Tamandua tetradactyla: one gene and its partners. The protein of the gene in region 1 purifies or fractionates together with the protein of each later gene. This does not show direct contact. Links are inferred from orthologs where the notes say so. Each region holds a gene or a part of one and is shown on either strand. Other genes may lie near its edges.

The links.
Region 2: the proteins of DNAJC7 (region 1) and PLD2 purify together in Homo sapiens (affinity purification with mass spectrometry; 3 studies listed by BioGRID and IntAct, counting the BioPlex papers as one, with this or other methods). This does not show direct contact. The link is inferred for Tamandua tetradactyla from reciprocal best matches to the Homo sapiens genes DNAJC7 and PLD2.
Region 3: the proteins of DNAJC7 (region 1) and DNAJB1 purify together in Homo sapiens (affinity purification with mass spectrometry; 3 studies listed by BioGRID and IntAct, with this or other methods). This does not show direct contact. The link is inferred for Tamandua tetradactyla from reciprocal best matches to the Homo sapiens genes DNAJC7 and DNAJB1.
Region 4: the proteins of DNAJC7 (region 1) and VPS13C purify together in Homo sapiens (co-immunoprecipitation; 4 studies listed by BioGRID and IntAct, counting the BioPlex papers as one, with this or other methods). This does not show direct contact. The link is inferred for Tamandua tetradactyla from reciprocal best matches to the Homo sapiens genes DNAJC7 and VPS13C.

What each region holds. Positions count from the first base shown.
Region 1 is NC_135332.1:25,200,235-25,207,891, reverse strand, and holds the start of DNAJC7 (dnaJ homolog subfamily C member 7), read right to left. Parts: upstream 3,017-7,657; 5' UTR 2,964-3,016; coding exon 2,887-2,963; intron 1-2,886. Other genes in the region: NKIRAS2 (NF-kappa-B inhibitor-interacting Ras-like protein 2), read left to right, coding at 6,460-6,553, 6,987-7,228. UniProt on the Homo sapiens protein: Acts as a co-chaperone regulating the molecular chaperones HSP70 and HSP90 in folding of steroid receptors, such as the glucocorticoid receptor and the progesterone receptor.
Region 2 is NC_135332.1:60,581,438-60,588,966, reverse strand, and holds the start of PLD2 (phospholipase D2), read left to right. Parts: upstream 1-4,501; 5' UTR 4,502-4,598; intron 4,599-5,108; 5' UTR 5,109-5,109; coding exon 5,110-5,218; intron 5,219-5,307; coding exon 5,308-5,438; intron 5,439-5,540; coding exon 5,541-5,683; intron 5,684-6,097; coding exon 6,098-6,203; intron 6,204-6,295; coding exon 6,296-6,361; intron 6,362-6,505; coding exon 6,506-6,564; intron 6,565-6,704; coding exon 6,705-6,797; intron 6,798-6,895; coding exon 6,896-7,048; intron 7,049-7,526; coding exon 7,527-7,529.
Region 3 is NC_135337.1:88,457,039-88,464,282, reverse strand, and holds the start of DNAJB1 (dnaJ homolog subfamily B member 1), read right to left. Parts: upstream 3,027-7,244; 5' UTR 2,933-3,026; coding exon 2,722-2,932; intron 1,828-2,721; coding exon 1,247-1,827; intron 955-1,246; coding exon 724-954; 3' UTR 1-723. UniProt on the Homo sapiens protein: Interacts with HSP70 and can stimulate its ATPase activity. Stimulates the association between HSC70 and HIP. Negatively regulates heat shock-induced HSF1 transcriptional activity during the attenuation and recovery phase period of the heat shock response.
Region 4 is NC_135340.1:78,224,854-78,232,137, forward strand, and holds the start of VPS13C (intermembrane lipid transfer protein VPS13C), read right to left. Parts: upstream 3,031-7,284; 5' UTR 2,948-3,030; coding exon 2,848-2,947; intron 1-2,847. UniProt on the Homo sapiens protein: Mediates the transfer of lipids between membranes at organelle contact sites. Necessary for proper mitochondrial function and maintenance of mitochondrial transmembrane potential.

The DNA of each region.
Region 1 (7,657 bases):
AACTTGAAATCTCTGAATTTTAGAATAAAAGATTACCTAGCGAGAGCAAGCTGCTTCCCAGCCCAGGAGCTATGACCAAAGAACCTTAATTTGAGAAAAAATGGCACGGGCCCTGCTAGTCACCTTAGCCAATAAGGTAAAGCACTCACAACGTCTCAGGAAAATGTGAAGCTAGTATCTTAAATTAGTTGAAATTTAAAACTTCTGAAATTTCATCCTCTGGCTCCTAAGTAGCTTTATCTGTTCTGATGGGCAAAGAGAAACAAATAATCTTCATACAGAGAACCTGATCTACTTTGGAATACCAAATAATACATTTTTATTTTAGCCTCTCAGCTGCTATGTGGGAAAAGAACTGTCAGAATGGCAAGCTAAAAAATTGAAGTCCATCTTTTTTTTCTCTCTAGAGATATGAAAAGCTAAAAAAATAAAGTATGTAGCCATTTAAAATGCTACAATGATGAGGTCCTATGTCTTAAAAGTTCCTTTCATTTCCTCTCTGGTAGGACTCTCAAAACTTAGCAGTAGCAGCAAGATACCCTTGAGCAAAGATGCAAGGAAGGAAAGACTTCTTGCAGGACTCCAGCAAAAGCTCATGTGCTAGACCTCCAATAAACAACCCAAGAGACCCACTAACTCCCATGTGCCCAAATGAACTGGTAGTAGGACTGTTAACAAGAGAAACAGGAACTTGGTCAAATGTCTCTGAACAAGCCAGACTATACAGGGGCAGTTGTATGCCCTTGTATGCCCTGTCCCTACCTCTATTAGGGCTACACAGGATTCCAGGACATATACAAAATGTAAAACAATCTCCCTCCAAAGTTTCTAAATCTGTACTCCATTTTCAGCATTGGAAAATCATACATAAATAAGTTTTTTTCTAAATTTAGTAGATTGAAATGCTAGTGATCAATGAAAGGGAGGGGTAAGAGGTAAGTATGTTTGAATTTTTTTCTATTGTCTTTTTATTTCTTTTTCTGAACTGATGCAAATGTTCTAAGAAATGATCATGATGATGAAATGATCATGATGATGATGATCTTGTAAATTACTGCTTGTATGTGTAGAAAGGAATGATCATATGTTAAGAATGTTGTTTGTTATAATTTTTTTTTTAATTAATAAAAAAATGTTTTAAATGATTACGGCAAAGAATACACAACTATGTCATGATATTGTGAGCCACTGATTGTATACCATGTACGGACTGTATGTTTGTGAAGATTTGTCAATAAAAAATTAAAAAAACACGAACCCCCCCACAAAAAAACCCACAAAAATAAGATAAGTTTTTTTCCAGTCTAACAGATCCTATTTACCCTCCTAAAGGTGTCTTATATGGCAAAAAATCAACCTGTGACTTTTTTTTAAGGAAAAGGATTTTCCTTTAAAAAAAAAAAAAGTTTAATAGAAGACTTTGAAATGAGGCTTAAAATAAGGACCGCCCCTACAACAGAAATTTACACTGGGAAGGATGTTTTTAAAATTACACATAGTCCAATTCTCTAGTTATAGCACAAAAAAACCACAGAACTCTTCCAAAAACACACGTAAAGGAAATCCTTACCATTCAATTTAAGGTCTAAATTGGGAGGTGTTCTTATTTCCCATTTTGCAATTCCTTAATAAAGTATATGACCAGATGATGCTTAATTCTGCTCATATATTGGAAAGAACTAGGAAAAATGTGAAAGCTCAAAACAAGGAACAGAGAGAGACTGGACTCTGGTATCCTGCCTTCTCTGATATCCCAGGGACCTACCACACTCCACCAAAACCCTTAGGCTCCCAACAGATAAGGAACTTGAGGCAATGGCTGTGGTAAGTTCCCTTAAGCTCAAAAACTATTCACCTTACTGAGTACCTCTTATGTTTAGATAGTGGAAATCTCAGAACCCTGATTTCAGACTTCATAAATGAATTCTACATCATCACCTCAAATCACTCAGACTGAAATATGCGGGAGAGAAACTCTGAGTATTGTAGACAACCCTAAACAAAAGGATGAAAATAACCTGCAGTTGATAAGGAAAGGGCTTCAAACTCCCAGAACCTTTCTGTCCACTCTGCTTTTGGATTAGACGAAGTATGACACCCACAACTGTGTACCTCACACTTCCATAACCTGCCTTAGCTTTACCCAGAATCCAGAGTGTTCGCGAAAATCACTCACTCAGCAGCTGCTCCCTCAACTAGTCGGACCTGGTAATCTCGAGTCACTGCAGTTGCCCAGCACTGCCAGCGTCACCCAAGCAGTTGCTTCACTTATGAGAAAAGAGCTGGGAGAAATGAGGATCCTGCTTGGGAAAGACAAGCAAGTCCCTAACCTTCCTCCTTTCTCTATCATCTTCAACTTCTGGGGTAACCAGGGAGTGGCAGAGCTGACCGGGTTAACAATGGAGACATTCAATCACCTCGGACCCAGACTACAGGTCGCTGGGGTGTAATTACTGGAGAGTGAGCTGAGAAGAGCAGGGGCTTCGGAGATGCAAAATGCTGACAGAAAACAACGCACAGAAGTTAGCAGGAGAAGGCGGGAGTCCGGGGCAATGTAAGGAAGTCGTCATTGTTGCCGCGCCGCTCCCCACCCGCAACAGACTTCTGAGATCCATCCCCCCCTTCAGAGACTCAGCTTCTACAATAAGAACGACCTTTCTCCAGCTGGAGAACAGGACGTGCCTCAGCTGCCAGGCGGAAGCTGCAGGAAAAGACCGACCCCCAAGAGCGCTCCTTCAGGGGGTCCATCCGGACCTGATCTCAGATGGGGGGGGGAGGGATTCGCGGAGGGCGGGGCATGGTCCCAACCGCTGGGGCTGCATCATGGCAGGAGCCGGTTACCCCAAACTGAAGCTCGCTCCCTCCGCTACCCTTCCACCCGGTTACCTCTTCGCCTCTTCGTCATTGAGCAGCTCTGACTCGGTCGCCGCCATTACCACATCGCACTCCGCGGTAGCCGCCATCTTACCGCCGAGACCAGAGAGCCGGGTGGGAGGCGGGCGGTGAAGAGCACTTCCGGCAGGAGCATCGAGGAGCTCAGCCGCGGCGCGCCCAGAGGGGCTCCCTCGGGCCCTTCTACCAGCGAGAGGCTCCACGTGAGGCCAGAGCGGCCTCCCTCCTCCGGCGGTCCATGATGGTCTCCGTGCAGGGGCGGGAGCCCAGGAACGGTTCCTGTGCGTAGGGGGCGCCACTTTGCCCCTGGGTTGGAAGGAGATGCTGGAAGGTGTCGCCTTTCTAAACCTTGGCTTTCCTTAGGAGTCGGAGGGCCTCGTTGCCATAGCAACTCAGCCCTAGAGAGTCTCCTGTAAAGCCTAGGGGAGTCTGGGTTTGCGTAAGGACCCAGTAACCCAGGAATCTGGAGGGAAAGAGTTCCCAGTACTACCTTCCTGACCTTGGAGAGTAGCCAAGGCTTCCTCCCGAGAAAGGCAAGAAGACACACTACGAGCCCAGTTCCTCCGCTTTCGTCGGCACTTGGAAACCCTGCCCAACCAAGCCAGGGGAACGCAGGGCGTCTTCATTCCGCGCCTTTCATCCCCCCAGATCTCCAAGCACCAACTGGTTCATCACCCTAATGACGCTGACCCTTTTATGAGCCTACTTTTATGTCGGCCTCCTGGGAGTGCCACCTCAGCATTACGCCTAGGGAGGATAACACGGCGCCCCGTCCGTGCCCTGGAGTTTATAAGGCAGGTCCCTGCTCCACAGGGTCCCCCAGTACTCCCGCCCTTCACATAAACTCCCGCTCAGTACGCTGTCTGAATGCAGTCTAGCTTGGGAACTCAGAGGACAAAGAGACAGCTTAATCATCTTTGTAGTACTTCCCTCACCCAAACCAATAAAATTCGTGGGCTTTGAATTAAATGGGTGGGGGGAGGGGTAGTTTCTGAGGTCAAAAGTTAAAACTAAGGGGAACTAAAGAAGTAGGCAAGGGAACTTGAAAAGGATCTTCCCTTCCTCCAGTAAAACAGTATGTGCCGGTGTCCATACCCCGATTGCATGGTCCCTGCCTCCCAAGTGCTGAAGGAGCTAAAATCACATAGGTCAGGTCATTTATCCAAGCAGTCATTCACTGGCCCTCTTGGAAGTGCCTGCTCTGGGCTGGGCTGGGAGAGCAACTTACCTGCCTGCTAATGGCTCAACAGTCTAATGCAGGAGGCAGACGTGTCTTTGACCATTTTCCTGCTTTGTGTCCTCGATACCTAAGTCAACTCATCTACTGTCACAGTTTTAACTTCCATCTGTTGATAACTCCTAGATATTTATCTCCAATCTAGATCTCTCTTCTAAGTTCCAGATCTGTATATATCTAACTATCTACCGGGCATCTATTGGATGTTTCACAAATCTCTGAGGCTTAACATACTTACATTGACTTTATTTTCTCCCCACCCCTCAACAACAGAAAAAAACAAATGTTACACATGATTCTCTTTCCCTGGATTCACTTTCTTGTTTGCATGGATTCACCATTCACCCCACAACCAAATGAGAAAGCTGGGAGACATCATGAACTCTCTATTTTTCACTCAACTCCCAACTTATCACCACGTCTTGTTGATTTTCCTAGCAAATATCTCGCAAATCTATCTCCTCCTTTTCATCCCAATTCAGGCTGTCATGTTTATTTTATTTAACTTGGAATACCACAATAATCTCCTAATTGGTCCCCAGTCTCATCTTTCTCCAATCTTCACTCTTCTACCAGTACTAAAACTGAAAACTGGTCATGTCACTTCACTGGCATATATCCTATCAATGACGTTCCATTGCTGTCAAGATACGGTTTGATCTCTTTGGCCTACCACAAAGGCCTGTGATTATTTGGCTCCCTTTTACCATTTTTACTGAACCCAAGTACTTGCAGTTCCGGAAAACACCATGACTCTTGCCATGTTTCCTGCATCCTATAACAACCTTTTCCCCTGAAAGCCCTTCAAATATCAGCCCAGACATGACCTCCTCCAGAAGATTCTCCCTGATGTCCCTTTGCTGTTGCTTCATAGCACCTCTGTGATAGTACTTACCATGTTGTACTGTAATCGTTGGTTTACATGTCTAGCTCCTATAGTCTGTGAAGTTCTGTTGCAGCTTCAGTGTCTAATTCGTCTGCGTTTTTTCAGCGCGTGGCCGTGCACGTGGCACAGAGTAGGTGTTCAGAAAACATTTGACGAATAAATGACTGAGTAAACGAAGGGTTAGTATGCTTTGGATCTTACGGTGCTCCCGCGCACAGTCAGGCAAAGTCGCGACCGTCATTTCCCCCGCCCGCCTCTGGAGGCGCTGTGCTGCAGGCGCCACTCTCTACCGCCGGAGTTCTTCTTGCCAGCCGGAAGCTGAGGGGCGGGCGCGAGGCGGGGGCGGGGTCAGGCGGAGCTGGGACCGACCCGGGAGGAAGAGGGAAGTTCATGCGGTGGTGCCGCCCCTGGTCGGGTCCTGGCTTGGAGGGGCCCAGCTGGGGTGCAGCGAGAACCTCGCGAGGTGCGGAGCTGGGAAGCGGGACTTGTCCGGCTCCCGGAATCGGCCACTGTCTTTGAGCAGGTCTCTGCTTCTGTTTAACTCTGGAGGTCCCCTCGTGAGGGAAATCTAAGGCGTAGGTCCCTCTGGTGGCCTCTCTTGGATATTCCTTAATTGGGAAACTCTGTAGGGCGCTCCTCTAGAGAAGTTTCTGTTTAGGGTTCCCCTTTAGGAGTGGTCTCTGCTTTCTGCGAAAACTTTGTGTATGGCTTTTTCTGGAAGCTTGTGTTTGAGGTGCCTTCTGGGGGCTCTCTAGGACTTCCGCGGCTTTCTCTGTTTGGGCCTTCTCTGAAGGGTCTGCAGCCCAAGGGTCTTTGTATTATCCCCTGCAGCAAATATTATCTCCTTTCCGAAGCCCTGTTTTCTGATTCTTTCACTCCTTCCTTTTTTGTCTGGTGTCCTTTATCTTAACCATGAACCTGACTGGCATTTAGAGGTTAATAGTGATTGTCCAAATAAATTTTACAGGAAAGTCAGTTGTCCTCCTTGATTTGCTTAATCTCCCTCACCCTTTGTTAAGGCTGGCTTAAGGCAGATCCAGTCGAAATAGAAACCCTGCTTATTTCTCCATAGGGTCATGGTTAAAAAGAAGAAACTGGGCCAGAGCCGCCTTTAGTAACTGGTTCCCTCAGCATCTTGTGCACAGAAAGGACCCGGCCAGTGGTTAAACCAACATCTCTCCTTATCCCTTATGGTAACATTTACTGAGCCATGTGCTGAGAAAAACAAAGATGAATCAAATACAGCTCACTGTCCAGTAGTGGATATATGGACACATCAGTTCACTACACGCTGACTAATTTTTGGGACAGTGTTGAATCCCTGAGGCTCCATGTTAGGTTTAAAACTTGGGGTCTCGGTTATGGGAGGTCTGCCACTTGTTTTGTTCCTTTCTTCCCCCACCTCACCTACTGTTCTTCTATTCCTCAAGGTTGAAGGCTAAGCATGGGGAAGAGCTGCAAGGTGGTTGTGTGCGGCCAGGCATCTGTGGGCAAAACTTCAATCCTGGAACAGCTTCTGTATGGGAACCATGTAGTGGGTGAGTGTTGTTGAAAGTGGGTAGTGGGGTGGAAAGAAGTGGAAAGCAGGATTTGATACCAACATGCATAGGCCGAGAGCTACTCATGATGTGTTTTGCAAAGTGAAGAGTAAAGCTTGCCCCCAACCCTACATCATTGAAGGTGAGAACATCCTCTCTGTGAATCCAGAGGAAGGAAACCCAATATCCAAGATAGGGAGTTCCCAAGTCATGTTTTTGCCTAGCATAGTTTTAGGATGAGACCAATGTCTGTCTCTGAAATCATTCCAGGGACAGTCTCTGGAATCTTCCAGATTCTGTCTCTGTCATTCTCTCCTTTGCCCTGACATTCCTTCCACTCCCTTTCTGCTCAGCCTGGCAGTATACTCTCAATCCTTCACAATTCCATCTCCCTCTTCCCCTTCAAACAAGTACCCTCCTCATTTTATCCAAGGCTCTGAGATGATTGAGACACAGGAAGACATCTACGTGGGCTCCATTGAGACAGACCGGGGGGTGCGGGAGCAGGTGCGTTTCTATGACACCCGGGGGCTTCGAGATGGGGCTGAGCTGCCCCGGCACTGCTTCTCTTGCACGGACGGCTACGTCCTGGTCTATAGCACGGATAGCCGAGAGTCCTTTCAACGCGTGGAGCTGCTCAAGAAGGAGATTGACAAATCCAAGGACAAGAAGGAGGTGTGTGCCCTGGTCTTCTGGTGGGAGCTTCAAGTTGGGAGTGAGAGTGGACCCTGGCTAGGAGTTAGGGGCCTGAGGAGGGGATGTGGAAGCCACTGGAGGGTATCTTCATGCCTAGAGTTGGCCACATGGTGAGTCTGCTCAACCAGAGAGGCTTCTCTGCAGTTTAAGGAATCCCTGACCCAACGCATGAAGCCCCCCATTTACTAGCTTTCTTTTTTACTACTACATACCTGCATCTATAAAGGCCTTCTATTTCCCTAAATCACGTTTTAAGCTGCAAGTGTTCTGAGTATGTGCTCACCTGTATAACCAAAAACTAACCAGCTGCTATTGGTGAGCAGGAATGGGTAAGACACAGCTTGTAATAGAATTCCTGAAGGTACTGTCAGTGGAGGCCAAAACTTGAACAGGGGAGGGAGAGGGAAA
Region 2 (7,529 bases), about 35 Mb from region 1:
CAAATAGTGAACCCTAAGTTAAACCATGGTCTTTAATTAATAGTACAATTATAAAAATGTTCTATCATTAATTGTAACAAATGTTCCACACCAATGCATAGTGTTGATGACGGTGTGGTGTATGAGAATCCAGTATTTTAAGCATGATTGTTCTGTAAACCCACTTCTCAAAAAAAAAAAACTTGGCAAAAGACTTGAACAGACACGTCACAAAAGAAGGTATACAAATGGCCAGTAAGCACACAGAAAGATGGTCAACATTATTATCATCAGAGAAATGTAAATACAACCACAATGACAAAGCACTTCACATCTATTAGAATAGCTAACAATTGAAAAGACTGACAATATCAAGTGTCAGTGATGCTGTAGAGCAACTGGAACTTTCATACCTTATTATGGAAGTATAAAATGAAACAATCGAAAAGCTTTGAGAGCAGCACACACAGAAGCTAAGGGAAGACAAAGAAGTTCAGAAAGAAAGCCAAAGACAATGCAGCCAGAAACTAAAAACAAAAGAAACCCAAGACAAAAGAACCAGCACATGCCACATGTGAATCCCATGATCACCAGCTTGTCTTAAGGAAGAAGGGATCATCTTGAGGATACCTTGATTTGAACATTTTCACAGCCTGAAAACGGTTAGCTTGTAAACTATTTAATCCACATTGTTAAAAGTCAGCCCATTAAAAAAAAAATTTAAAAAAGTCAGCCCATTTCTGGTCTACTGCATTTCAGAAACTATAGCTAACTAAAAACAGATATCAACACACAAATATCAGCAGTGTTTCCATACATTATAATGAGCAATCTGAGGAGGAAATCAAGAAAAAATTTCCATTAACAATAGCAGTTAAAAGAATCAGATATCTAGGAATAAATTTAACAAAGGATGTAAAGGACCTATAAAACATTGCTCAAGGAAGACCTAAATAAATGGAAGGACATTCCGTGTTCATGGATTGGAAGACTAAATATTGTGAAGAAGTCAATTCTACCCAAACTGATTTACAAATTCAACACAATCTCAATCAAAATTCCAAAACCCAACTTTGCAGAAATGGAAAAGCCAATCATCAAATTTATTTGGAAGGACAAGGGGCCCCAAATAGGCAAAAACATCTTGAGAAGGAAGAACAAAGTTGGAGGACTCATACTTTCTGACTTTAAAGCATATTACAAAGCTACAGTGGTCAAAACAGCATAAAGATAGATATATTGATACCACCATAAAGATAGATATATTGATCAATGGAATCAAATTGAGAGTTCAGAGATAGATCCTCACATCTATGGTCAATTGATTTTTTAGAAGGCTGCCAAATCCACTCAACTGGGACAAATGGTCTATTCAACAAATGGTGCTGGGAGAACTGGATATCCATATTCAAAAGAGTGAAAAAGGATCCCTATCTGACACCTTATAAAAAAAAGTAACTCAAAACGGATTAAAAAAAGCCTAAATAAAAGAACTAGGACATAAAACTCCTAGAAGAAATTGTAGGGAAACATCCTCAAGAGCTTGTGGTAGGAGGTGGTTTCTTAGACTTTACACTCAAAGCACAATCAACAAAAGAAGAAATAGACAAATTGGGCCTCCTCAAAATTAAATACTTTTGTGCTTAAAGGACTTCATCAAGAAAATGAAAAGGCAGCCTACTCAATGGGAAAAAATATTTTGAAATCATATATGTGATATGGGTTTAATAGCTAGAATATATAAAGAAATCCCACCATTCAACAACAAAAAGACAAACATCCCAATTTAAAAAGGGGCAAAAGACTCGTATAGAAAATTTTTCGAAGAGGAACTACAAATGGCTATAAAGCACATGAAAAGATGTTTAATTCACTAGCTATTAGTGAAATGCAAATCAAAATCACAGTGAGATATCAACTATAATGGCCACTATCAAAAACACAGAAAAACACAAGTGTTGGAGAGGATGTGAAGAAATAGGAACACTCATTCACTGCTGGTGAGGATGTTAAATGGTGCAACTGTGGAAGATAGTTTGGCAGTTCCTCAGGAAGCTAAATGTAGAATTGCCAAATAATCTGGAGAGTCTGCTACTTAGGTATATCCTCAAAAGAACTGAAAGCAGAAGAACTAAAACAGACATGTGCACACCTATTTTCACAGCGGTATTATTCATAATTGCCAAAAGATGAAAAGAGCCTGTCCATCACCTGATGAAAAATAAAATGTGGTATATATGTACAATGGAATATTAATCAGCTGTAAGAAGGAATGAAGTCCTGATGCATGAAACAACATGGATGAAGCTTAAAGACATTCTTTTGAGTGAAATAAGCCAGACACAAAAGGACAAATATTGTATGATCTTACTAATATGAACTAATTAAAATGAACCAACTCTAGGAGTTAAAATCTAGAGTATAGGTTACCAGGAGATAGAATTATGGATAGAGATTGGGGAGCCAATGCTTAATTTGTATAGAATTTTTAATAAGGTTGATTGTAAATATTTGGAAATAGATAAAGGAGATGCTGGCACATTACCATGAGTGTAATTAACAGCGCTGAATTATGAGTGTGTTCACAGTCGAAAGGGGAAGTTTAGGATTGTGTATGTCACGAGAAGGAAAGCTAGAGAAAAACCATGGGACTATATAACATACTGAATCGTGTTGTAGACAATGACTGTGGTTAGTTGTACAAATGTAAGAATGGACTCACATGAATTAGAAACAAATGTACTTCACTATTATAAGGTGTTAATAATAGGGTGGTATCTGGGAAAAATACAACTAATTAAAACTATAGACTAGAATTATGTTCTTTCATAAATTGTAGCAAAGGTACTATACCAATAAAAAGTGTCAAAAATGGTGGGGGAGTTATAAGAGGTATGGGATTTTTCATTCTGGAGCAATCAGAATGTTCTTTAATTGATTGTGGTGATGAAGGCACAGCTCTGTGATTACACTGAGTCATTAATTGTACACTTTGGATGAATTGTATGGTGTGTGAATAAAACTGTCTTAAACATTGGGCAACAGTGGCTCAGTGACAGAGTTCTCGCCTGCCATGCCAGAGACCTGGGTTCGATTCCCAGTGCCTGCCCATGTAAAAAAAAAAAAAAAAACTGTTTTAAATATTTTTTTAAATGATAAAGGCTAAAAGTCAGGAGAACATCATCTTTAAAGTACTGAAAAGGAAAAAACTGTCAAACCACAAACCTATGCCCAATGAAAATATCCTATAGTGAACGAAATAAAGATATATTCATAAAAATAAAATTCAAGACAATTTATTACCAGCAAATCTGCCCAACAAAGAAAAAATTTTTGATCAAATTCTTCAGACTAAAGAGAAATGAGACAAATGAGAACTCAGATTTCAGGAAGAAGTGCAATTCCTCAGAAACACGGTAATAATAAAAGATACATTTTCCTCTTCTACTTTTCTAAATACCTGTGACTGTTTACAGCAAAAAAAAAAGTGCATTTAGTAGTTTGTATATATAAATGCAATAATGTAAAAACTATAGCTTGAAAGAGTGATGTTAAACTAACTCTCCAGTTCCAAGATTCTTTTGGGGGGCGGTGGGGGACCGGCCCCGCATGGTCCGGGAATTGATTGCGGATCTCCTGCATAAAAGGCGAGCATTCTACCACTGAACCATCCGTGCACCCTCCAGTGGCAAGATTCGTGCCCAAAAAACAAACAAACAAAAAAACCCACAATCATTTTGGAAAGCAGTCTGGCAGTTTCTTATACACATTACTAGGACCCAGCAACTCCACTCCTAGCTGTTTACCCAAGAGAAATAAAAATGCAAATTGATACAAAAACTTGTAAAGAAGCTTTATTCATAATTGCCAAAACCAAAATCTAAATATCCTTCAAAAAGAGAGAAAAATTCACCTATCCAATCCATCCATCCATCCATCCATCCATCCATCTAATCGTCTTTTAGGACCTGAGGATTTCCCTGCTTGCCCCCAGACTATAAATTGCAGGAGAGCAGGTTCCCTCGTACTCCGTCCCACCTGAAGCAGGTGCGCAAGTTGGGCGAATGAATGAACGCAAGCATACATTTGTAGCCACCATCCCTTCGGCCTTGTATAGTCCCCTCATTCCTTCCACCGACTTCGCTGGCTGGACTAGGCCGGACCCGGTCCGCAGCTGGCTGGGGAAGGGGACCCGGCAGACCCGCCTCGCCCGCGGGCTGAGGAGAGCCCGGCGCCCGAGCAGTGAGCAGTGTGCGCAGCGCGGAGTCCCACCCGGCGGCGGCAAGGTCCGCTGGGACGGACGACGCGGGATGGACCGACAGACTGGTGGACAGCCCCGACAGCCGGACGCACCCGGCCGAGCATCCAGCCCCACCCGGCCCAGGGCGACCCCCCGACCCAGGGCTACGCGCAGCACGGCGGGGCGGGCCGAGGGCGGCGGGGGCGGGACAGGACAGACGAGAATCCCGCGGAGGTGAGGCCGGGGACCGTCCCGCCCCCGAAGGCAGACCCTGAGCCCCGGCCCCGCCCCGGCCGCCGGGGTGGAGGCTCCGGCTCAGAGCTCCGCGCTGCTCCCCACAGCACGCCAACCCGTGCGGGCGTCGCCTTCGGCTTCCAGGGTGAGAGGACCGGGGTGGGATTGCCTTCCGAAATCTTGGGTCCCGGAAATCGGGCGGGGACCGGGATGGGCTCGGCTGCGGGGCCTCCTGACTCAGCCCCCACTCTCAGATTTCGGGGTTTCCCTCCCCGGTTGCGGGCGCGTAACTTCCTCACTCCCGCCCGGACCCCCTCTCGCAGCTGGCTGGGCCCGACTCTGGCCCCGGCGGCCCCAGGCCCCTCTCGCTACCCTAGGTCCCTCCTCCCAGCTTCTGCTCTGTCCCGTCCGGACCTGGCTGGGGGCCCCTCGGTGCCCTAGTTACGGGACAGGGGCGGGGCGGAGGGATTCGGGATGAAGGACTACGGCAGAGGATGGAAGTTAGAGGGGAGTCTGCGGAACTTTGCAGACCCTTGGGCGGTGATTACAGGTTGTGGTCTAGGTGGGTGGAGGAGAGGGCCTGTGGGAGCTGGAGATCCCTGGGTTTGGGATACTTGAGGCAGGCCACCTCCCTGATACCTCCTGGTATTCCTAGGATGATGGCGACCCCGGGGAGCCCATTCTACAGTGGGGGTGACCTGGACTCAAGCCAGTTGCAGATGGAGCCCGATGAGGTGGACACTCTGAGGGAGGGCGAGGACCCAGGTACTCAGGAATGAAGACCTTCAGGGAAAGGAGGGCCAGGGGACTGTGGCTTCCTGGGATCTGCACTCCTCTGCTTTCTTTCCTCCTAGCTGACCGGATGCACCCCTTTCTGGCCATCTATGACCTTCAGCCTCTGAAAATGCACCCCTTGGTGTTTGCCTCTGGAGTCCCTGTCACAGCCCAGGTGGTGGGCACTGAAAGATACACCAGTGGCTCCAAGGTGCCTGGGCTGGTACCAGGGTGGTGGGTAGAGGGAGGGGTGGCCAGAGTGGAGGGCTGGGACCTGACCAGGGCCGGTCGACCCTGTTCCTCACTCCCCCAGGTGGGAACCTGCACTCTATATTCTGTCCGTTTGACTCATGGAAACTTCACCTGGACAACCAAAAAGAAGTTTCGCCATTTCCAGGAGCTGCACCGGGACCTCCTGCGACACAAAGTCTTGATGAGTCTGCTCCCTCTGGCTCGGTGAGAGGGAAGGAGCTGTTTCCTGTGAAGGGCAGGTGCCCCTCACTCTGGCAGCATGGACTACCCCAGCCCTCTTCTCTCCTTTCTTCCTCTTTCACCCCCAGATGCTTTCCTTCCCCTTAACTCTGGCCACTGGTCCCCCTCCGCTAACGTTGATGGCTGGGAAAACTTCCCTGCCCAGCTCTCCATGGTTCTGTGCCAGTATCTCAACTGGGCTGGATGCCCGAAATGCCCTTGGCAGCTTCCCCCCTTCCCTTGTCTCCATTCCCGGGGCAGGGTGGGGGTTGGGGGTGTGCTCCCTTCTGCCAGTCTCTAGGCCTCTTGCCCTCCCCAAAGGTCCCACCTTCAATACTCCAGAGATCCAGGCACCCAGCCTCCCAACTCTTACCTGTCCCTCCCCCATCTCTTCCACAGCTTTGCCGTTGCCTATTCTCCAGCCCGAGAGGCAGCCAACAGGGAGATGCCCTCTTTACCCCGAGTGGGTCCCGAGGGTTCCACCAGACATGCAGCTAGCAAGCAGGTGCGAATGGACACCAGGGCCTCTGGGAAGGTTTGGCATATAAATGGCTCTGGGCCCATCTGTCTTTCTCTCTCCCCTCATCCCCACTCCAGAAATACCTGGAGAATTATCTCAACTGCCTCCTGGCCATGTCTTTCTACCGCAACTACCATGCTATGGTAAGGTTCAAGAGCTGGATGCTTGGGTCCTTTGAGAAGGAGCAGTATAATCAGACCTCCAAGGGAGCAGAGGGCCAGAGTTGCTTGGGGCTGAGAGACTGAAAGTTTGGGGTCTCTTCTCTGAGCCTTTGTTTCCCTCTGCAGACGGAGTTCCTAGAAGTCAGTCAGCTCTCCTTTATTCCAGATCTTGGCTCCAAAGGCCTGTGAGTGTCTGATACCCTTCACCCGGCCATCTGCAAGATCTCTTTAGATCTCTCCCTGACTTGCGAATGGAAAAGACAGTGCGGGACGGGCTGAGGTTCTGGATTCCTCATCAAGCATCTCTTCCTGATTTTCCCCACAGGGAGGGGGTGATCCGGAAGCGCTCAGGGGGCCACCGGGTCCCTGGCCTCACTTGCTGTGGCCGAGACCAAGTTTGTTATCGCTGGTCCAAGAGGTGAGAGCTAGGGTAGAGCAGCCGGGCAGGGTGGGGGGTGGGGGTGAGGAGGGAGATCCTGAAGGCAGGGAGGAACGGTTGGAGCCCTTCCGCTCCAGGTGGCTGGTGGTGAAGGACTCCTTCCTGCTGTACATGTGCCTCGAGACCGGCGCCATCTCGTTTGTTCAACTCTTTGACCCTGGCTTCGAGGTGCAGGTGGGGAAGAGGAGCACAGAGGCACGGTATGGGGTCCGGATCGACACCTCCCACAGGTAAGACTTTTCTGAGGAGAGGAGAGCCAGCCCTAGGGCCCCGAGGGCTGATGAGGGGGAGAGACCTTGAAAAAAGAGGAAGGAATTTCCATCCTCCTTGATCTGGCCATGATTTTGAAACAGGCTGCTTAGCCCAGCTGGATGCCTGGGGCTGCTCTTCGAGTCTGGGGCTAGAGAAAGGGGGTTGAAAATAAGGAGCCCAGGGGAAGGGCTCTTGATATAAAAGAAAAGGAATTCCATTCATTCTGTTATTCTTCATTCAGCAAACCTGAGTGCCTGGTACAGCACCAGGTGCTGGGAACCCAGCTGCAAATGAGGCAAATATATGCCCTGTCACTGTAGAGGTGTGAGTTAGGGATTCAGGGAGCAAGTGGGAAAGAGGTGCTAGCCCCGCTGGGATGGTCTGTGTTGTGGCTGTGGTGTGGTCTCTGGTGTGGAGGGGGAGGACTGGTGGTCCAGCTCTCTGTTCTCTGTACAGATC
Region 3 (7,244 bases), on another chromosome or scaffold:
AAAAGAAAGGGTGTGAGCTGTGAATGAACACGCTCAGCCTCACCAGAGCTGGGGTCCCAGGGCCTCTTCCACCCTCCGGCCAGAACCCCAGACCCCAGCAGCAGAGGCTGTCTGCACGACTCACTCACTTGAGGCCAGCTCCCTTGGTCCCGCTGGAAGGAGATATTGCTTGTGAGTGCCGGCCAGGCAGTACTGTAGAAATAATCTAGGTTCTCAATTTGAGATGACAGAAGAGAAGACAGCATTCTCCAGGGGAACAGCAAGACATTGAAGATAAATACAGAATAAAACACGGACTGATCACATAACGGAATGGGAAGAGTATACGGTCTGGTAACTAAGGTGGCAGGCTGGACCCAACCCCAACAGCTGCAAGCAAAAGGACTACAGAGGATCAAGTCCAGCTGTGGGTTTGCCTCTCGCCCCACCTGTAGGCTGAGGAGGGGTGGGGGGCTCACACCGGCAGGGGCTGCAGGACCCAGGGGGGCCAACCAGGTGCCTTTTCCTGCACTCCCCACCACCTACCACCCTATCTTTTGAAAAACCACTTAAGTCTAGCACACAACTTTGAAAGATTGTAATATATTCTCTGGAAAACATTCAGCAGTATGAAAGCCCTCCCTGGGCCACCCCGCCCTCTCATGGGCCCACAACTGGTAGAACGGTCCAGAAAGCCTCACGCTCCAGAAAGGTCCCTGGTCAGTCCTTGGGGAGTGCAGGTGACTATATAGGAAGAACCTGCTCCAGTACGGTTCTTGACGTCTGGGGAATCCTTTCAGGGAAGATGACTTCAAATTCAATAATGAGGTCCCCGCGTTTCTCAGGTGTTTTGGGCAGGGGGAGGCCTTCTCCAGGAACTTTTCGCCTCATGCCGGGCCTGATGACATCTTTGAAAACGACGGGTTTGGTCCTGCCGTCCAAGGTGGGGACGTTCACCGTGCAGCCACACAGAGCCTTGGGAAGCAAATGGACAACATTAGATGGAGGATGGCTTAGGAAGCACTACTCCTGCCCAGAAGTTTGGAGACAGGTGAGATCCATCAGACCCCTGCAGCTGGGACCCTGCCTCCAAATCTACTCAGATCACTGGGACAAAACTCTGAAAGAGCCCTAGTCAGTCTGGTTCACTGCCATATCCCCTGAGGCCGGCACACACTAAGCCCTTACAACTATTTGTTGAGGAAATACTGCCTGCTTCAAAGAATAGCCCTGTCCACCGCAGACACTGTGCCACCTAGCACCTTACCTCCCGAAGGCTGATCCTGGCTGGGTAAACGACATCAGAGCCATCTCTCTTAAAGATATTGTGTGGCTTGTCCTTTAAAACAAAGACAATGTCGGCTGGAATGTTGTTGGAGGTCTGGTCTCCTTCCTTGGGGAAGGTGATTTTGGTCCCTTCTTTCCACCCTCTCTTCACTTCAATGGTTAAGATCTTGTCTTCGTTGCGAATGCTCTTTCCGTCAGGGTTCAGTCGCTTGTGGGAGATTTTCATTTTCTTGGTACAGCCGCTATAGATCTCTTCAAGCGAGACCCGGAGGTCGTGGGTGACAGGAGGATCCTGTTTCTTCCTGGAGGGCTCCTGGGAGGGGCGGGAGCGGCCAAAGTTCACGCTGGTGAAGCTACCCATGCCCATGGGGAAGCCGGAGAATGGGTCGTCGATGTCCATGCCTTCCTCTCCGTTCCGCTGGCTGAAAAAGTTGTCAAAGGGATTTCGACCACCAAAGATCTCCGCAAACATGGCATGGGGGTCTCCGTGGAACGTGTAGCTGAAAGAGGTACCATTAGCACCACCGCTGCTCCCACCACTGGGACCACCGCCTTTCAGGCCTGAAAAGCAAAACCGGAAGTTGTCAGGCAGCTAGCCAGAACTTCTCTGGAAAGGTTTACATAAGAGAAAAGAACTTGGGAACCCTCCGAAGACAAATTCTGTGGGATCTGTTAAGAAAAGCAAGGAAGAAGCCGAAGCCTCTGCAGCACCAGATGAGACTGACAGTGGATACCAGCCTAAGCCCCGGGTTGGGCATCCCTCGGTGCCACTCAGGCTAGGCCATCTCTTGGCTGGTTCATCCTCCCCACCAACGTTATTTCAAGGATTTACCAGAAACCAGATGCAAAGGCCGGAGTCAGTATAAGCCCTCCCTGTTTGCTCTTGACATCTTCCGGCTAGTGGTGTGCATGGGAAGAGTAGAAAAAAATAAGAAATAAACTGACGTTTTCAAGTTGTCACCATCCTGTACCAACATTAGCTGCCACCATCTTACACAAAGTCGGCTCATTTCTTGAGCCCAAAAGCCAGGGTGAGTCACCAAGGGGCAAGTGGACAACAGGAAAATCTCTTTCTCTTCCCCCTGAGGAGGGCCATCCTAGCCCGCCTCTCCTACGTGCCGGGCCCGGTGAACACCGCAGTCGCCCGCGGGGGGCGGGGGGGGGGCGATAGGCGCCCCCTCCCCGCAGGTCGTGCCCTATGCGGGCCGCGGGCCCAGGTGCGCCCAGGTGAAGCCAGGTGCACCCGGGACCGTGGGCGGCGGCGCCCAGGGAGGAGTAGCCCGGGCTTGCTAGAAGCTTCTGGGCGAGCAGCGCAGCCAGGGCTCCTCCTCCCAGGGCGGGGACCCCGCGGGCAGGCGGCGGCGGCAGCTCCCCGGGCAGGCTGGGATCGCCCCCCAAGCCTCGGTTTCCCCGCCTGTCAAACGGCGGAGGCGCGCCTCGGCCGCACGCACACACCTTCCTCCCCGTAGCGGTCGAAGATGTCGCGCTTGCGCGGGTCGCTGAGCACGTCGTAGGCCTCGGCGATCTCCTTGAACTTCTCCTCGGCGCCGGGCTCCTTGTTCTTATCCGGGTGGTAGCGCAGCGCCTGGCGGCGATAGGCCCGCTTGATCTCCTCGTCCGACGCGCCGCGGGCCAGGCCCAGCGTCTGGTAGTAGTCCTTGCCCATAGCCCCCGTCTGCGGCCCGCCGCCCCGCTTTTGCCGCGCCCCGGCTCCGCCGCCGCCGCCCGCTCCCAGACTGTATATACCCGCCCGGCGGAAGCTTCCAGAGCCCGCCAGCCCCCTCCAGAACCTTCCGCCCCGCCCCCCGCACTGCGCCGGCCAATCGCCGCCGCCCGCCCCGCGACGCGCGACGTCCGGGGCGGGGCTGTGCCGCCAACGGCCGACGGCGCGCGGCCCCGCCCCTCCCGCCAGCAGCCTCGGCAACGCCTCGCTGCGGCGCGTCCTCCCCCCCGGCTGGAGGCGGCCCCGCCCAGCTCTCCCCCGGGAGAGCCAATCGGGGTTTGCTTCCGCCCCGCCCGCCGGCTAGGCTGGCCGCGAGCCCCGCCCTCTGCGCGACTCCGCGAGTGATGACGCGCTCCCACCCTACGACCGGCCGCCCTCGCCGGGAAGGGGCGGGACTAGCTGTGGGCCCGCCCTCCGAATATGTTCCGCCGGGTCCCCAGGAGCTGTTTAATCCGCCGGCCCGCCAAATCCCAGGGCCCCGCCGGGTGGCTCAGGGGGAGTGGCAGTGCCTCTCCTTTCCCCAGCCCCACCCCCCAGCCCCACCCCGCCCCCTGTAATATGGGCATAAAAAATACCCCTGACCTCACCATACAGGTGATGCAAAGGTCACCTTTCCGGAGAAGTGTTCCAGTCCCTTCCCTCCTACATTTTGCTTTGACCGATATCTCAAAAGCACCTGCCACTGAAATCTGAAATAATCTGGCCCCTTGGCTTTCATCCTGACCCCCCCCACACAAACCCCGGGGCCTGTGGCCTCTGCCAGGGCAGGGACCTGGTCCGGTCTCCACTGGGACCCGGTGCCTGGGACAAAATCTGGCCAGCTGTGCACCTTTCATAAATATTCCTGGTTGCTCGGACGCAGCTGCTTCTTTTTCTCTCCCCACTACCTTTTTGATTTGGGGGATGGACACAGCTCTCAGTGCTTCCATTTGCTCATGTGTGGAACAGTCTGAGTTTGGCGTGCCCCTGACCAAGGACAGAATTGATGAGGAAAAGCGGTGCGGAAAGAGGCGTAGGGAAGAAGGGCCAGGGTGAACGGCGGTTCTGGAGGACAGCCCAGGAGGCCAGCGCTCTAGAGCCTCTGGAGCCAGAAGGTGGAGTCTGATTCCCAGTTCCAGCACTTCCTGGCTGCGTGAGTTTCGGCTGGGTCCTTGACTGTTCTCAGCCTCAGTTGTGCCATCTGTACAATGGGATAACTGTTGTATCTTTTGTTCTGAAGTTTACAAGAGTTGACATTTGTCAAGTGCTGAGGACAGCTGTGAAAAGGGTGAATTACCAGTTTGTTCAGTGGTGGGCTGCTGAGCCACCCCGTTCCTGGGCAGCATCACAGCAAAACCTCTGGTGACTGCTTGCCTGCTCTGGTGCAGGCTGAGATTTCCAAGAAAGAAAACCCAGCAGCCTTCTCCTGGTGCCTGGACCTCCCTGCCCACTCACTGACCCCAAGAAAACCCTGTCAGCAAAGACTTTGGACTAGGACAGGGCAAGGGTCCTGAACCAGTTATAAGGGAGAGAGAATTTGATACTTAAAAAGTTGTGTGAATATTGATTGGAGAGGCTATTCTGGGGGCTATTCTTATGCAAGCTTCAGTGAAATATTGCTATTTACCTAGGTTTGCCAAACCCCAACCAAAACCATTCCTGCCAACCTTAAAGAACTTTATCTGAGCTTCTACAGAGGTTCCATGCACTCGAGTAACTTTCCTGAAACCTATAACCTCCAGATGGGCTCCTAGGCCAGATAAGTCCTGAAACCCAGAGGGGCCAGCCTCTCCAAGAACATCAACTAGTTCCATTCCCTTATCCTATACTGCTGATAGCCCTTTCCAACATGAAAAAGCTAGAATGGGCATAGCCCAAATACCCCTAAAGATTGGCAGAAGCATCAAAGGAGAAGGAGGAGTTATAACAGAGAAGACAGGATTTAACAAATGAGTATGATTGCTGAATGGTTATATTGGTATTTCTTTTAATCTCCAGTGTCTTGGAACAGCTAGAAGGAAAAACCTAAAATTGTGAAACTGTAACCCAAAGCAATAATTGAAATCTGTTCTATTTGTTCCATTGTACTATGAAATTTATTGCTTTTTGGTATATGTTATATTTCATAATAAAAAAATGTTTAAAAAAAGTTATGTAAACAAATAATAGCTGAATAGGAGGCGAGTCACCATCGTGGGGGAACAAAACAGAGCTTTATGGACTTCCTTACACTCTAGGATTTTATAGTGTGACGTAATTGGGAGTTACAAATGTGGCAGTGACATCTTTTTGCTGATGTTTTGGCCTCCATAGGTCTTAGCCAGGACTTAACTTGGCTCTGGTTTTACAAATGGTTCTTTCCAGACCCGAGGGCAAGGAAACGCTGGGCCACGGGTCACTCCCTTCCTCCTGAAACAAGCCAGGGACACGTTTTAGAAGTTTTTTTTTTTTTTAAAAAAAACAAAGCTCTCCTTTGACCTAGGCAAATGAGTGGTCATTTCAGAATAGTACAGGGAAAGTGGCCTCCGTGGAAACCTCAGCCAATCTTGGGCTCTCTGAGAAGCTAAGAGGGCAGGGCTGAGGTCAGCCTGCCACTGTGCAAATCCTGGACCCATTGTTTATGCTTCTTTACTGACTCATTGATCTTACACAACTTGCTTGATCTTTTGGAGCTTCAGGTCACTCCTCTGTAAAATGGGAATAAGGGAGGACGGTCCCTGCTGAGGTTGCTAGGTGGACCATGTGAGAGAGGCCGGGTAATTAATATTTTAATGACAGCTGCTGCTGACCTGGCTGTGCTTTGTGCCAGGCGTGTTCATGCATGAATTCATTTAAGCTGCCGGACAGCCTCTGAAGTGGAACTAGTGTTACCTCCATTTTACAGGTGGAAAACTGAGGCCCTGAATGGTTACATGACTTGTCTAAGGTTACCCATTCAGTAAAGTGCTGAAGCGTAGCAGGCTTGGCATACTTAAGTAGTATGTAATGCAGGTGATAATAGAGCTTTAATTAAAAAAAAATAGCCTTACAAGTGCATCAACTGTTCACCTGTACATCCAAAGACTTTCAAGAGCAAGCCGGCCGTATGATCTGGAAATCCCACTCCCGTGAAACACCTGAGTGAAATGAAGTCTGTTCATATCCGCCGTGGGTGCTCACTGTGGTTTTGTCTATAATCACCAAAAGGAAATAACCGGAATGTCCTCCAATGAGTTAGTGGATAAACGAATGTGATCTGTATGTATGAAGGAATACTACTCTGCTATAAAAAAGAACTGGTGACTGCTACATGAAACAATGCAGACAAACCTCAAATGCATTGTGTTTAGTGAAAGAAGCCAGACTCAAAAATCCATCTACGAGAATAAAAAAGTATTTGCAAAGCCCCCTGGAGGAACTGGGGAGAAAGGAGGAAATCTTAAACTTCCCCTCCTGGGGAATTCCTGATATTCTCGCAAGCAGTGGGGACAACCAATTTAATAGGCCGAGCCCTTGATCTTGGGGTTTGCCCCTATGAAACTTATTGCCTCAAAGGAGAAGCTAAAGCCTACTTATAATAATGCCTAAGAGTCATCCCCAGAGAACCTCTTTCGTTACTCAGATGGGGCCTCTCTCTCTAAGCCAACTCAGTAGGTGAACTCACTGCCCTCTGCCTTATGTGGGACATGACTCCCAGGGGTGTAAATCTCCCTGGCAGTGTGTGAAAGAACTCCTGGGATGAGCTGGGACTGGCATCACAGGATTGAGAAAGTTTTCTTGATCAAAAGGGGAAGAGAGAAATGAGAAAAAATAAAGTGTCAGTGGCTGAGAGATTTTAAACAGAGTTGAGAAGCTATCCTTGAGGTTATTCTTATGCATTATATAGATATCCTTTTTTAGTGTATGGTGTATTAGAGTGGCTGGAGGGAATTACCTGAAACCGTTGAACTGTATTTCATATTCCAGTAGCCTTGATTCTTGAAGATGATTATATAACTATATAGCTTTTACACTGTGACCGTGTGATTGCGAAAACCTTGTGGTTGATGCTCCCTTTATCCAGGGTATGGACAGAGGAGTGAAAAAAAACAAGACAAAAAAATAAATAATAAGGGAGACAAAGGGTAAAAAAAAAAAAGGGTAGATTGCAATACTAGTGGTCAATGAGAAGGGGTATGGGATGTATGGGTTTTTCTCATTCCTTTTTATTTCTTTTTCTGGAGTGATGCAAATGTTCTAAAATTGATCATGGTGATGGATACACAATTATGTGATGATATTGTGAGCCACTGATTAT
Region 4 (7,284 bases), on another chromosome or scaffold:
AGGATATTTAGCAGCATCCTTGGCCTCCACCCACTAGATGCCAGTAGCACCTCCCAAGTCATGACAATCAAAAGCATACCCGGACATTGCCAAATGTTCCCTGGTAGGCAAAATTATCTCGGTTGAAAAACCACTGCCTTCAGTTACTCAAAAACCTAGTTACGAAGTATCAACATTTATTTCTAAAGACTAGCAAGATCAAGTACATGAATATTAATAGGCTTGAATTCTTCCAAGTCTCTAGACTTGTAAATTCAATTTAGGGCAAAACTGAAAAAAGCCAAACACTATAAACACGTAAACATTATTTGCTAAAGCACTGTCAATAAGACTGTTTAAAATTTGCAATTCTTTGTAAAACATTTCAATATTATGGATGTCACCAACATCAGTCATTTCGTTAAAGTAACTTAATTGCTATTTTATCAAATTAACTTAATATTTCCACTTGTTTACCAAAAAAAGTTTAAGACAAACTTTTTAAGCAATATTTTCAAAGAGTAGAAACAGTCAAACAGATTTTTGGACTTCTCTTTCAACAGGGAATTCAAGCTTATAAAGACAATCTATTGAGCAATAACTACAAAAGTTCATGGCTTCTAACTTCCGTTACAACATCGACAAAACTAAACGGCAGCAAAACTTTGGCTAAGCAGAGTCATGTGCCGATAAAGCTGAGGAAATCCCTGATCAGAGTTTGACTGGATATAATTTATTAAATAAATGGGTTTATTTGGTCAGGCCAACAATAAATTTGATATTGTCCACTGGCAGAATATCTTATTGTGAAAAAAGCTGGTTTTATCTTGCGATATAGCACCTACAGAATGAAAGAAAACAAAGTCGCCTTTCCCAGATTTTACCAAAAAGGGGGGGAGGGGGACAGAAGGAATGACATAACATTGGGGCATTTTAATTTCTGTTGTGAAAAAATTTACTCCATAATTTCATAATAAAAATATTTTCACTTACAATCACAGAGTATTGGCACTGTAAGGACCCTTAGATGTGACCTAGTTCAATCCCTAATTTTTAAAATGAAGAAAAAGAGAATAAGATTTAGTGGGGAAAAAAAATCTTTGTATACATATACTTTACTAAAAAAAAAAAAAAGAACCTAATGTAAATAGAGCACTTATTAAAATTTGGGTAGTGGTTACATGGGAATGTTACATTATACTGCATAATCTAAAATTTCCATAATTTAAAAACATTTTTCCATTAAGGTTTAAATAAAGATGAAGAAACTAAAGCCCAATGAGATTAATGGCTCGCCCCACACAACACCTCATTAGGCCTAGAACCCAGGCTGTCTAAACGCCAGTGCAGTGCAGTGCTTTTTCAAATTTCAAGTAATGTTTTCAAACTAGAAGAAAAAATTTATACTATTAGATAGTAATCTGAAGAAATACTAGAACTTTAGAGGGCACTAGGCATTCAAATTCCTTAAACGTCTCTCTTTATTTGCCTTTCTTTCGCATATTTATTGTGGTGGGGGATGTAAACATGCATGGATTGATATGCAAACCATACTGAACCAATCAAAAGCTCAGTAATCAATCTATTAAAATGAGGTTCCTCCACAAGTCAGGGCAGGCTGATGGTTCTACTAACACATACGTTATTATCAATTATTCAGTAGCCACGTTTTTAAAAAAGTAGAATCAAGGGAAATGAATGTTAATGTATTTATCTAACTCAATATATTCAAAATTTTCAACATGCAATCAACATTAAAAATATGAGTGAAGGACTTTATATTATTTTTCTCCTGATTGAGAGTATTATTCAGAGTATTCAAAAGATGGCATGTGTTTTACACTTTACAGCACATGTGGGGACAACCCACATTTCAAACGCTCAATAGTCACAGTAGCACTATGCTATTGGACAGTGCAGTTCTATAACTATTTGTTGACTGAATTCAAAGCAGTCCATCCATCTGAGCTGTGCTTTCGATTTCCCTGCAAAGCTGACACAATTCCCAACTCTGATAGAGTGAGCAAGTATCCTTAATGCCCCCAAAGCTTAATGTGTAATTAGTGCAAATAATTAAGCTTTTTTAAGAGTGTGCACACATACTATTGTCTACTCTTATACACTCAACCCTCTAGAATAGGAAAGCTTGCGTAAATTCCTGGGCAACCAAGCATAATTAACGATGATGCTGGTCGTAGCTTGACTGTCTATCCCTTCTAAACAAATCTGAAAACCCTCTTTCTTAGGAAAGAAAAGTAAACAGAGGAAAGAAATCGCTTTCTCAAAAACTCATATCCTTAACAGTTAAGAATCCCCACTGACGTGCCTTTGTTAAAGATCGTCGCCTACTTATCTACAAACCCCAATTCTAAAAAGAAGGCAGCTAGTTCTTGTTCTCTATAAAATGCCAGAAAAGATAACTGCGAAATGCAATCTCCTTTTTCCTTTCCCTTGGTACCACTTGGTTAGTGTTTATGACCACGCAGCCATCCTTGCCACAACCAGAGCGGGAAAGATTTTCTTTTCATGTCGTGGAGCCAACTCAGGACAGCGACAGGGCCCCAGGGTGGGCAAGGATTTAGACCTCAGTGACCCAAACGGAGCGAACTGGGGCAGTGCCAGGGCGGACCCGCCGCATCTCCCGCATCAGGAGCCGGGAGCCCCGGGGGGCCGAGTGCGGCGGGGGTGAACACAGGCCTCTAAGCCCCGCATCTGCCGCCCCGGGAGGGGAAATCCTCCGGGCGCCCAGCGCTGAGCAGTCCCTGGCGGCGAAGGGAGCAGGGCCCGGGAAGGAGGCGGAGCTTGGCGGAGCCCCAGGCGTCGCCTCCTCGGCCCAGGAAGCCCGCCTGCAGCTACCCGCTCGCTTACCGCCCCAAATCCCCAGCTTCAACTGGGACTTGTCCAGGTTCTCCACATAATCCCCCAGGAAGCGATTCAGTAGGTCCGCGACCACCGACTCGAACACCATCGTGGGGCTGAGGCTGCTGGAGAGGGAGGAGCCAGAACCGCCCGGCGCGGCTGAGGGCGGAGACCCAAGCCGCGAATGACAGCCCCCGGGGTCCCGTCCCGCCTGGCGCCGCGCAGCCGCGTGACTCCGCTCGTGCGCACGCGCGCCGCCGCCAGCGCCGGGAAAGGGGTTGTGGGTCTCCGCGCTGCGCCCGCGTGGTCTCCGCAGCTGGAGCCGCTTGAGGACTAGTCGGGGAACGGCGGGGGCAGCCCCTTGGCAGCTCTGGCTGAACGGAAAGGGACGTTAGAAATGAAAAAAGGGGAGGCAGGAGTTACTGAGCACGGGCACATCTAAGTGGCAGCTCTGCTTCCCTGCAGCCGCCCCCCTCTTGACCTGGATCCCGCGGAGCTCGCCATCTGGGGCGTAGGCAGCTTCATGACGCCTCCCCACCCTCGCACCCCCCAATTCCCAGGGCCGGCCGGGAGGGAGCCCGGCGCTTCCCAAGTATAGTGTTGAGCACCTCTAAGCAACCGCCTCTTCACCTTATGGGTCAAGTAGGGCTAAGGGGACACTGCATTTTTGTTGTTGGATTTCAGCTGTACACGAGGCAAGGCTTGCTCCTTAAAAACACACTTTAATAATTTAAAAAAGATATTGCAACAGAACCGCCTCATGAGATGGCAAGTAAAATGGGAATTGAACATACGCTTTGTTGAAAACTCATTGTTTTTCTCCCTCCTGTGCTTGATTGACTATTAAGTCACAAGCCAACATAACTTCTTGATTATACCTCATTGCGGAAATAAAAATAAAACTTAGGCCTTTTTCTGAAAGTATGTGTTACCTGTTACATATAACTTGTTTCCATGCTATCATTGGATTGTCTTGGTAGCAAGACGTTAAATGCAGATAATTTATACCGCAAGGAATTCGGCCCTGGTAAAATTAAACTACTCATTGGCAAATGTCATCTTTTAGAGACTGGATTTTTTTTTCTAAAATGCCCAAAAAACTTTGAAATATAGTAAACAGATAAGTGTAAGAAATCTCTTGCTAGGAGTTAATGAGTGAAAGTGTATGTGGTGGTTTGAAGTTGTGTGTACCCCTGAAAAACTTTAAAATTTACTCTAGTCCTGTGGGTGAACCCTTTGTAAGGAGAGAGAGAAATACCACCTTGATAATATCTTGATTTGGATATTTTCTCAGCCTGAAAACCGTAAGCTAATAAATTCCCATTGTTTTAGCTGAACTATTTCATGGTACTTGCTTTAAGCAGCCTAAGAAACTAAAACAGGGCAGGCCACGGTGGCTCAACAGGCAGAGTTCTCACCTGCCCATGCAAAAATAAATAAATAAATAAATAAATAAAACTTTTTTTAAAACACTACTAAAAAAAGAAACTAAAGCAGTGTATGTGCATATTGTTCTAATAATAAACAATCTAGGCTTCAATGGAATCAAAAGAAAGTCATTTCTTAAAGTCCATTGGAGAAGAAAAAGAAGAAAATCAAAACCTTTTCAGTTGGTGTCACATAAGAGGAATGATACAAAAAAAAGATAGAACCAGCACTAACTAGTATTATCAACATATGCCTCCATCCTTCATTCCTGCAAACAGAAAATAAATCCTTAACCATTTGTTTTCCCTTTCTCAGTTAGGCAGACAAACTACCCAGGAGGCTTCTGGACTTCTCTTCTTCACCATCTACAATCAATTAAAAGCCAAACCTGTCTATTCTGCATCTTCCCTGTCTCCTAAATGTCTAGTCTGGCCTCCAGTTTTTCCCTTTTTCCAATTCATTCTTCATACTGGCACCAAAATTAGTTTCCCAAAGGACAGGTTAGTCTCTGGCTCAGAAACACCCAATAACTTTCCAGTGTTTGAAATGCCCTCAGCAATCTGTCCCCAAATTATCCTTCTAGACTTGTCCCCTTAACATCCACTCTCTCCTTGTTCACTGACACCAACTGAGTGGACTGCAAAGAAACAATATATGTTCTAGTTAAGGTTAGGCATGTATTCCTAATTTAACTTGTCTGGTCAGTTTAAATGAACACTATAAGTACATGGAATCTTGAACACAGCATGAGATTTTGTTGGTTTGTCCAGGTTCATGTGATGCCTCAATAAATCCCAGAGTGGTATGGACAGTGAATAAAGAATTATTTGGAAAGTCCCCTTGGGAAATGGAGAGAAAGAGGGAAATATTCAACTTCACCATTTGGAGAATTTTTTATATTCTCACAAGACTGGGGACAACAAAATCAATAGACTGAGCCCTTGATCTTGGGGTTTGCCCCTATGAAACTTATCCCTGCAAAGGATAAGCTAAGCCAACTTAAAATTAAGCCCAAGAGTCACCCCAAAAGAACCTCTTTTGTTGCTCAGATGTAGCCTCTCTCTAAGCTGACAGGGCAAGTGATCTCATGCCTTCCCCTTCTATGTGGGACATGACTTCCAGGAGTGTAAACCTCCCTGGCAACGTGGGACAGAAATCCAGGGATGAGTTGGGATTCAGCATCAAGGGATTGAGAAAACCTTCTCGACCAAAAGGGGAAAGAGAGAAATGAGACAAAATGAAGAATGAGTGGCTGACAGATTTCAAACAGAGTTGAGAGGTTATCCTGGAGGTTATTCTTACATATTATATAGATATCCCATTTTAGTTTATGGTATATGTGGCTAGAGGGAAGTACCTGAAACTGTAGAGCTGTGTTCCAGTAGCCATGTTTCTTGAAGATGATTGCATAATGATACAGCTTTTATAATGTGACTGTGTGATTATGCAAATCTTGTGTCTGATGCTCCTTTTATCTAGGGTATGGACAGATGAGTAAAAAATATGGATGAAAAATAAACAAATAATAGGGGAACAAAGATTAATATAAATTGAGTAGATTGAAATACTAGTGCTCAATGAGAGGGGGGTAAGGAGTATAATCATGGCGATGAATACATAACTATGTGATGATATTGTGAGCCACTTGATTGTATACCATGTACAGAATATTTGTACGTCAAGAATGTATGTTTGTTAAGATTTGACAATAAAAATATTTTTTTTAAAAATTAGGCATGCAGCATAAAAAGCTAAGAAACAAACCAGTACAAGAACATATGCAAATGGTAATGCGAGATTGTATGAGAAATGCCACAGGAAGAATGGAACTGTCAAGACTGTGGAAGAGAAGTTACAGTCTCTTGAGAGAGGTGGGCAACACTAATGCCTTGTATGGTAATAATTCTTTGCACTTCTATGATACTTTAACTTTTGAAAGAATAATTTATGTGTGTTTTTATATGCATCATTACATTTTACTTAGTGCTTCAGTTATACTTCATGAGTCATCGTGTGTTTTTTTATGCCAAGTGTTTTAGTTTATAAAAGCTGCTGGAATGCAATATACCTGAAATGGAATGGCTTTTAAAAAGGGGAATTTATTAAGTTGCAATTTTACAGTTCTAAGGCCATGAAAATGACCAAACTAAGGCATCCAGGGAAACATACCTTGACTCAAGAAAGGCCAATGGGTCCAGAACACCTTTGTCAGCTGGAAAAGCACATGACTGGCATCTTCTATCTTTCTCTCCTGGGTTTTTCATTTCATTTCATAAGAAATAAATAAATAAGGGGTGCTCTCCTGCATCTCCAAAGATCTCTGGCTGTGTGGCTCTCTCCATCTAAAGCTTTTTCTAAAATGGTTTCCTCTTAAAGGACTCCAGTAAGCTACCCCACCTTGAATGGATGGAGACACATCTCCATGGAAACATTCTAATCAAAAGTTACCACCTTCATTAGGTGGGGTTCTGTAAAGAAACAAATCAGCAGGAGATATCCATAGATATAAAATTTATAAAAGTGTCTCACATAACGGTGGGAATGTAGAACCAGTTACAAGCTGGTTGATGAAGCTCCTCAACAAACTCTCAGGAGAGGCTGGCTGGACAACCATAGAAATGGATGGGTCCAAAATCGTAGGTCAGGCTGTGAAGCTGGCAACTCCAATGGAGGGTCTGGACGAACTCCACAGGAGAGGCTCACTGGCTGAAGCAGGAAGAGTAACTGTCTCTTCTGAATCCTCCTTAAAAGCCTTCTGGTTATAGTCATGCCCTGTGAAAACCAATTTTTGTAGACCTGCTACAAAGAGGTCATTAGTATCATTCAGTATGAACAGAGAAAAGTGATAATCCACTCAGACCTAAAATAAAAGACAATTACAACTGTGAAAAAAAAAAAAAAAAGCCTTCTGGTTATTAGATTAAGCATCACTCATTGCAGAAGATACTCCCCTTAGCTGATTACAAACACAATTAGCTGTGGATGCAGTCAAGGTAACCATAATTTAAGTCCATGAAA